2 linked regions of the Ovis aries genome follow. The protein of the gene in region 1 interacts with the protein of each later gene in a biochemical or structural test. Links are inferred from orthologs where the notes say so. Each region holds a gene or a part of one and is shown in the gene's direction. Other genes may lie near its edges.

Region 1 (4,432 bases):
TGCCTTTGGGCAATTTCCGCCAGAACCTGGGTGGAGAAGGTGGGGTTCCGGTGTTGAAATGGCATCCTGGACAGACATAAACACCCTACCCTCTGCCCACTGGCCAAGGGCCTGTGCCAACTCCCAGCTCTAGGGATGGCCATGTAACAAGGAGGGGCCAAGCAGGAACTTGGGGTGATCCTCCTTCGAAAGGACAGTTTGCAGCTCTCGTGAATTTTGTGGTGAGTCAGAGTGGATTCCACATTAAATACCTGTGATGGGCCATCCTTGTGGTGATCTAAGGTCCTCCAACCCTATGCTCTGCCTGTCCTTCTCTAAGTCTCCCCCACTCACCCAGTCTGCCTGCCTTTACTTCTGCAGCAGATATAGGGTACAGTGCGTGGCCCTAAGAGAGCAGGGGGCCCCTGCCAAATCTGCTTGGAGTGTCTTGCCAAAGGCAGGGAGAACAGATGAGGGTGAGATGGGTGTCAGGGAATAGGGAGGTGGAGTGAGGAGAAAGGGTGACAGAAAGGAGAAGATGAAGGCAGGGCTGAGGGATTGCTGAGAATGTTGAACTGTCCAAGCAGAGAGGGAGGGACCTCCAAATTCAACTTGTCTCACTCCCTGGTTTTACAAATGAGGAAACAGAAGCTCAGAGAAAGGCGACGGCTTGCCCGACATCTTGCTGCTGCGCAGGTCTGCAACTCCAGCCCAGATCCAAAGCAAAGGGGCTGAAGGGGAGTGAGTATTCAAGTCTCTAAAGAAATATTCCCTAGAAGAGAAAAGAGGCCGAGATTCCACAGAAGGAGCTGACTGATGCTGACTACCAGTAGAGTCTCGGCGTAGCAAGACGTGGGAGCAGGACTGGGAAGGCACCTGGAAGATGGGACGGCAGGAGAGTCAGCAACTCTAAGCACCAGACCTGACTCTGCTATTTAGCAGCTTGAGTCTCAGATTCAGAATGGACCTTATAGGATCTTTGTGAAAATCAATCTCATAAATGAGTGCCTATAGACCCCCAGGCTCAGTTCTCAACAAATGCCAAGCAAGTCTTTGCTGTGGTTATTATATGACCTGGTTTGTGGGGTAGGGTATAGCCAAGAGGACCCTGCAGGACACAGGGCAGAGGTCCAGTGTCTCCAGAGACCATTCCTCCTCTGCTGCCTGCTGCTGATAAACCTCTTATCTGGCCCAGGCAGGGGAGCCCAGGACCAGGATAGGAGGCGAGGGCAGGGCTGCTATCAGCCAGCAGGCCCAGGGCCTATCTTAGAGAAAGGGAGGGGCTGTCTGCTTGGCTCTTCCCACAACACGCTCCTTGGGGATCCCCAAGCACTCACTCTCAACTTGGAAGGAAAAGACTGAGATCCTAAAACTGAGGGCAGAGGAGGAGAGCAGGAGTGATCCCTGAGGCTGCTGCAGGAGACAGGAAAAACAGAACCACCACCCTAGATGATGTGGCTTCTGTCCTGGCCTGTGATGCAGTCCTGAGGAGTTCAGCAGTAGGGGAAAGAGAAGGCATCTTATCTGAAAAGTAGAGCTCCCAGAGGAACTGCCTACAGCCATAGCAGGTGAGGTAGAGATAACACAGCAGAAAGAGGCTTTCTAGCTTAAGGAGTTGTTGATGAGTGCAGCATGGATGGGGGGATGAAGCGTCTCCTTCCCTCAGGGGAAGCTGGAGGGAGCTGCTCTGTGCATGCGTGCGTGTTCAGTCGCTCAGTCATGTCAGACTCTTGGTGACCCCATGGACTGTAGCCCGCCAGGCTCCTCTGTCCATGGGATTTTCCAGGCAAGAATACTGGAGTGGGTTGCCATTTATTCCTCCAGGGGATCTTCCCCACCCAGGGATCAAACCCAAGTCTCCTGCATTGGCGGGTGGATTCCTTACCACTGCGCCACCTGGGAAGCCCAGCTGCTCAATGAAGAAGGATAAAACTGCTGACCCGTGGCAGGAGAGGTCCTAACCTTTGTTTCTCTTTGATATAGGTTGCTGGGACCATCTGGGCTCTCGGGACCTTGGACCAGGCCCTGGCCCAGTAGGATGTCCCCGTGTCCTCCACAGCAGAGCAGGAACAGGGTAACACAGCTACCCATTCCGGAGCCAGGTGAGATGGAACTGACTTGGCAGGAGATCATGTCCATCACTGAGCTGCAGGTAAGCCAGGCAGTGGGGAACAAGGTGGTGGGGGGAGGGAAAAGCAGCGAAACAGGGAGTCTGGCTGGGATCGAGGCCCTGGGTGTGTGTGGCAGGGGGTGGCACTGGAGCAAGCAGAGCCCAGGGTCTCAAGATGGGAGATTTTCTGGACACTGTAAAAAGAAGGGCTGGAGTCGAAGAGATCTGGAGGGAAGGCCAGAGCGTTGAGGGGGAGGGGTGCGGATGAGCAAGAGATAGCAGTGGTGGGAAGGAAGGATCTGATTGGGGGTGCAAGCTCTCTGAGCAGCCACTCTGCTCACGGCTCTCTACCTCACCTCCTGCCCCGCCTTCCCTTCTTCCCTTCTTCACCTTCCTCTGTTCTGCCCTCTTCCAGTCCTGCCCGTCTTCATCCCTCATTTCCTTCCCCTGTCCTCAGCAGCTGGGCCCCTTTCCCTCAGGTAGCAGAGCTGTAGTTCAGGGGCCTCAGGAAGGTGGGGGTGGGGGTGGGGGGTCGGGCTATGCCGGGGTCCTTTCCTCCTGCTACCTGGACAAAGGGGTGTCTGTTGGCCTAACAATGATGCCTTTGTCCCCAGCTGGGCTGGAGCAGGATGGCTCCCCGATGTGGGTTGGGGGCCCTGTTCTCCTCAGCATGTTCTCTCCTCCTCTCTGCACCTGGGCAGGGACAGAGGGACTGGAGGGGAAAGGGCAGAGCTCACGGTGGCTCCCCGAAGTAACTCTCTGCCCCAGACCTGGCACTGTGCCCATGCCAGCCTGGGTCCTCAGGATCTGCCCTAAGCTCTCTTCCCACACAGCAGCTCCCTCTGCTGGGCACCCAGGGCATGGCCAGGGTCTGAACTTGACCCTTTGACCCTAGATAATGGCAGCAGGAAAAGGGTTCCAAGGGTCATCGTGGAGTGACTCCTTGTCTTCCTGAAGGAAATAAAGGGACAAGAGACATCTCAAGCCAGTAAGAACTTCTCCTGAAGAGGAGGGGATTCCACAACTGTTGTGGCGTTAGTCCTTTCTGAAGTCTGACTTCAGCGAGTGCCCTTCCTGTTTAAGCCGCTTTCTTCATGAACTTGCTCTGTCACAACTTTGCCAGAAGCTTTTAATGATTATTAGCAACTTTCTGTTCCCTTGTGATTATCTCACTAGTTCTTTCAGTGGGACTTAGATTGGTTCTGAGAGAGAGATGGTTTCTTCTCTTCCTCAGCCCGTCTACAAACCTCTTGGTGTCTTTTCTTGCAGGGTCTGAATGCTCCAAGTGAGCCATCATTCGAGCCCCCAGCCCCTGTCCCATACCCAGGGCCCCCGCCGCCTCCAAGTTACTGCCCCTGCTCTATCCACTCGGAGCCTGGCTTTCCCCTTCCTACACCACCTTATGAGCTCCCGGCACCCACGTCTCATGTCCCAGACCCTCCGTACTCCTATGGTAGCAACATGACTGTACCAGTCTCCAAGCCACTGACCCTCTCGGGCCTGCTCAGTGACCCCCTCCCAGACCCCTTGGCCCTCCTGGACATTGGGTTGTCAGCGGGGCCATCCAAGCCCCAAGAAGACCCAGAATCTGACTCAGGATTATCCCTCAACTATAGTGACGCTGAATCTCTTGAGTTGGAGGGGACGGAGGCTGGCCGGCGTCGCAGCGAGTATGTAGAGATGTACCCAGTGGAGTACCCCTACTCACTAATGCCCAACTCCTTGACCCACCCCAACTATGCCTTGCCACCTGCCGAGACCCCCTTAGCCTTAGAACCCTCCTCGGGCCCTGTGCGGGCCAAGCCCACTGCACGGGGGGAGGCGGGGAGTCGGGATGAGCGGCGGGCCCTGGCCATGAAGATCCCCTTCCCTACGGACAAGATTGTCAACCTGCCAGTAGACGACTTCAACGAGCTGCTGGCGCGGTACCCGCTGACAGAGAGCCAGCTGGCCCTGGTCCGGGACATCCGAAGGCGGGGCAAGAACAAGGTGGCCGCCCAGAACTGTCGCAAGAGAAAGCTGGAGACCATCGTGCAGCTGGAGCGGGAACTGGAGCGGCTGGGCAGCGAGCGGGAGCGGCTTCTCCGGGCCCGAGGCGAGGCCGACCGGACCCTGGAGGTCATGCGCCAACAGCTGACGGACCTGTACCGTGACATTTTCCAGCACTTGCGGGATGAAGCAGGCAACAGCTACTCCCCTGAAGAGTATGCGCTACACCAGGCTGCTGATGGGGCCATCTTCCTGGTGCCCCGGGGGACCAAGATGGAGGCCACAGACTGACCTGGCCGGAGGGGGTGGGACTGGTGATGGGGGTTTCCTTCATTCTCTTCTGATAAAGGTCCT
Region 2 (4,371 bases), on another chromosome or scaffold:
TCCTGCAAAAAGTGACACCTGTGGAAATCCCTGCAAGTATGAGCAGGGACAGAAGAGCCTGAAGCTGGTGGTGAGGATGCGAGAGGTCCAAGACCTCTTTCTTGGCCTCAGGGGCAAGTCTTGGTGGTCTAGTACATTGTGAGACTCAGGCTACACCCAGTACAGGGGACACGCCTTGCCCTTAAAGAACACAGACAGGCTGATAAGACAAACACATGCAACCCTGCAAAGTAGGTGACAAGGTCCTGTGGGATTCTGAGGGAATTAGAGTCTGGGAGAGAGAGCTGCTAACACCTTGTTGTCTCCTGGCTTTGGGGGCCTCCTGGGTTGGCCTCCATCAGTGGCACTGAATTCCCCTGAGGACAGGCAACCTCTCACTCACCCTTCTTTCAGCTCACCTGATCCCTCTGACCTTCCTGGCAGGGTAGGTCCCCCTTCCTGGCTTTTCATTTAAGAAGGTAAATCCAGAATTTCAAGGTAGAAATTGGATCCCTTCAATTTCCCGTCTGCCTTTTGTCACCTTTTTCTCTGGGAATTTTGAAGAGCCGTGAGAACTTAGAGAAAGTTCAGGAGCAGACATGGACCGGTGACCTGAGTTCCAGCCAGATGCTGATGAAACAGGAAAGGAAAGGTACAATTCCTACATCAACTGTTAATTCAACAGATGTTTACCCCTCACCCACTCTGAGCCAGACGTGTTCCAGGGACCACTTGAGTCCTTGTGAGGTCTCAGGATGTTGGGTAAAGACAGATTACACTACTGGAAGGATGCTGGAAGTGGCAGACAGACCTAAGTTTTGAATCCTGGACAAGCCCTTCACCTCCGGGAGTATATGGGTCTTCTGTGAGCCAGGCCAACGTTCCTGGCAGGGCTGAGGCCCGCTCCAGTTATCGAGGCAGTGCATGCAGAGTCTGACAGGCGGCATCAGAACTACCGTGAGAATCTTCTCCGTTATGCGTGGGACCTCTAATCCGCACCTGCACTCTGGACACGTGGCCTTTGAATTGTCCTGCACACAAGGCTCAGGAGACTATTTGAGCAGGATAGCCAGACCCCACCTTGAAAGGGGCGTGGCTGGCCGGGAGCGCGCTCCTGGGCCAGTCCCGCGAGACCTCACCCACCGGGCGCGGCGCGCGTTGCCCAGGCGACGGCGCCTGGGCGCGCAAGCGCAGTGCAGGCGTGCCCCGCCCCCGCCGCCGCCGCCGCCGCACCTTCCCCTTTAAGCCCCAGCTGGTCGCGTCGCTGCTTCATGAATGGAGCCCACGTGACCAAACATCATGTGACGTCTGTGGAGCGGCGGCGGCGGTGGCTGTGGCGGCGGTGGCGACGGCGGCGGCGGCGAAGAATCCCGAGCCCCGAGCCTGGTCCAGCCCGGCCTTCCCAGCGCGCTCGGCGCGGCCCGCGCAGGCGGCGAGCCCCTACTCTGGGCCCAGAGTACTCGCTCGGCCAGCCCAGCGCGGCCTCGGAGTGCCCGCCCCGCCCCGCCCCGGCCTCGGCCCGCCGGGCCCGCAGTGTGGTGGGTGAGTGCGGCGGCGGCCCGGCTAGGGCCGGACGGAGGGTGGCCAGGGATTCCAGGCCGGGGACGGGTGCTCGCGGGGCTGCGGCTCCTCCCGGCGGCGCGGGCCGGGTACTTAGGTCTTTGGGTCTGCCTGTGCCCTGCTGGCGGCCCATGCCTCGATTTCCCCACCGGTCAGGGGCAGTTCCTGGCCTCTGAGCCGGGGGTAATGGGGTGGGCGCAGGGGCGCTCAGGGGCAGGGCGGGGCTTGTTCTGGGCTGGCTAGGTAAAGCCGGGCGTCCTGGAGGGAGGGGCGGCCTGGGTGGCGGGAGGAAAGGGTGGGGTCGAGCAGGGCGCCCAGGGCTCCGCGGAAGAGCTCGGCGGCCCCGGCCTGAGCTGCTGATTCATCAGGTGTCTGTGTCGAGGCTTCCCTGGCGCGGGGTCTTTAGCAAGCCGGGGGCAGGAGGCGGCACGTGGGGGGCGGGCTGGGAAGACCCTGCCCGCGCCGGCTTCACTCCGTCACACGCGTGCCAGAGCCCAGAGGGAGACTTGCTGAGTCATCAGCATGAGGTCACTAGATGCTTGTCCTAATGCCTGGGGGGATTTCAGCTAGGGGCCTGAGAGGCCGGGAAACGAGGGGTGAGAGGGAAACCGTGGGAAGTTAGAAGGGGCCAGGCCCCAGGCTGGGGCGCCTGCTTAAGTTTGGACTGATACGAGTTTACGATAGGAGGGTGAGGAGTAAACGGAGCAGTCACGGTGCAGGTTATCCCGGGGTAGAGGGTGAAACCCCTGGTGTGTCCATCCCCTCCCAGGCAAGCTTTTCTCAGGCTGCTGGTCCCTGACCCGCCTCTGGGACAGTTCCCCAAACTGGGAAATAGTTCTGAGAAGAGGGGAGGAGCTTGGGGGGGGCCGTCCTAGCGGGCTGGGAAGTAGGCTTTCCCTGTGGCTGGCGTGGTTGGCCAGGCCCAGCTGTCTCAGGTGGGAAGACGTGAGGCAGTGGGAGAAGGAGGGGCGCCTGTACTTGAGTCCTAGGTGACAGTGGACAGTTCACGGGGCAAGTCAGTGCAGCTTTACCAGGAAATTGGCAAAGGAGAGGAAGCATAAGGACTTAGACTTGAGGGGAGTGAGGTGTCTGGTGAACAGGCTTTGGCTTTCTTCACAGCCTGGCCTTGGGGTCTGAGTGGTGGTAACTTTGAGGGTGGACTGGTGTGGATGGCAGGAGTTGACGCATCCCCGTCACCCCAGAGTGGTTCCACTTGAGGTTGGGGCTCAGTACTGTGCAGGTTAGCAAAGAACGTGGCCCTTCTGGGTATCAGGCCAGTGGTAGGGACTCCTGGGGAGTGACAGCCTGAGGGTGGTGTGGCCTGAACTATTTTTCTTGGGTGTATGAGTGGTTCCTGGTCTTCAGGGTTAGGGGAGCACTCTGTCTAGACCAGAGCTGACTGCTCTTGCCCAGAGGTTCATGGCTAGCCAAGGCTGACCTTGTGGTTTGTCCTTCCCCTCCAGCCCTGGGCTTATAGATGCCAGGTGTTTTAACACTTAAGCTGATCTTTTGGCTGAAATTCTATGCCCCAGGAACATGTAGATTCTTCTCAGCTACTTATGCTCTGGTGGAAATTAAGTTTTAGACTTTTTACAAAGGGCTTCTGGAGAAGGTTGGTCTAAAGGGCAGGGTGGGAGTGCAGTGGGCTAGGTGAGGGTGCCAGAGTGACCAACGCCACACCTGCCAGGGCAGTTTAGCCACTGGTGTTTGTGATCAGGAGAAGGAGCAGGGGCGACTAGCCTCCTGTCTGCTGTCCACACCTGGGAAAGAGGATGGAGCTCTCTCCCCTTTCTGGCTGGCTCTCACCTTGAATGAGTGGCCCTGGGTACCTTGGTGGGTTCCTGCCCTTGGGACCACCCATGCCTTCTCCACAAGGTGTGCTCAGCCTTAGTGGAAGCAGAGATGAGAGGCAGGGTAAAGGTTCTCCTTGATCCAACCTCTGAAATGCCCTCCCTCTGGTTTCTTGTGGTGGGCTGGGACTGACGGTCCTGAGCCATCAGTCCCAGCCCATGCCCAAAAGCTGTCTCCATCCCAGTAGTGAGAGTCCTCGGGTAGCGGAGACCAGGCCAGGAGGTCAGAAGCCCCTGCTTTGCTGAGACCTGCCCCTCCCCCTCACGAGTAGCACACAGGCACACCTTTGATTAGGAGGCGATTGGCTACACTTGTGCTGAGTTCAGGGCTTCTGTGGAGGGTGAAATCTGCCGAGGAGGCACTTTTCAGCTCCCAGCCGCCACGCTCGGCACTTTTCTGTGTGATCTCTTCAGGAAGTCACCATGTGCTCAGCATTTGAGGGTTGGGGGGTGGATGGAGGATGGCGTGTGGGAAAAGCTGGTGCCAGGGCTTTTCCTTCGCGCTGACAGACCCTGGACCCGGACTCAGGGCTCGGGGAGCCCTTCTGGCTCCACCTGGAGGACCTGGCTCCTGCGGTAGGCATGGGGCCCTGAAGACCTTGTGACCTCCGGTTCCTCTGCCCCACCCTCTGCTCTGGAAGAGCGGTGGCTCCATAGCCTCTCCAGGAGGGCACCACAATCCTGGTTAGGCCTCCATTTACCTCCCTGCATCTAACCTGGAAGGTCACAGAGGGAGCAAGGGGACAGAAGTGGTCCAGCTGAGCCAGGAATCCAGGACTCAGTGGGGAGAAATGTCCTAGGCAGGGCTGCAGAAAGTGAGGGCAGGATGCAGAAAAGATGACCAATGGGTGGGTGAGGGGGCCCTCTGAGTTTTGTTCCCTGCCAGAGAACAGTCACTGGCCAGAAAGGGCTGAGCAGGCCCCTGGGGGGTCAGTTGTGGGCACTCTTGTGAAATACCCTGGATGGGGTGGGGCAGGGGTAC

What was found.
Region 2: the proteins of NFE2 (region 1) and MAFG form a complex in vitro, tested with the Homo sapiens proteins (2 studies listed by BioGRID and IntAct, with this or other methods). The link is inferred for Ovis aries from reciprocal best matches to the Homo sapiens genes NFE2 and MAFG.

Annotation. Positions count from the first base shown.
Region 1 is NC_056056.1:132,256,307-132,260,738, forward strand, and holds the start of NFE2 (transcription factor NF-E2 45 kDa subunit), read left to right. Parts: upstream 1-1,596; 5' UTR 1,597-1,751; coding exon 1,752-1,765; intron 1,766-1,962; coding exon 1,963-2,131; intron 2,132-3,358; coding exon 3,359-4,369; 3' UTR 4,370-4,432. UniProt on the Homo sapiens protein: Component of the NF-E2 complex essential for regulating erythroid and megakaryocytic maturation and differentiation. Binds to the hypersensitive site 2 (HS2) of the beta-globin control region (LCR).
Region 2 is NC_056064.1:50,464,998-50,469,368, forward strand, and holds the start of MAFG (transcription factor MafG), read left to right. Parts: upstream 1-1,523; 5' UTR 1,524-3,843; coding exon 3,844-3,965; intron 3,966-4,371. UniProt on the Homo sapiens protein: Since they lack a putative transactivation domain, the small Mafs behave as transcriptional repressors when they dimerize among themselves.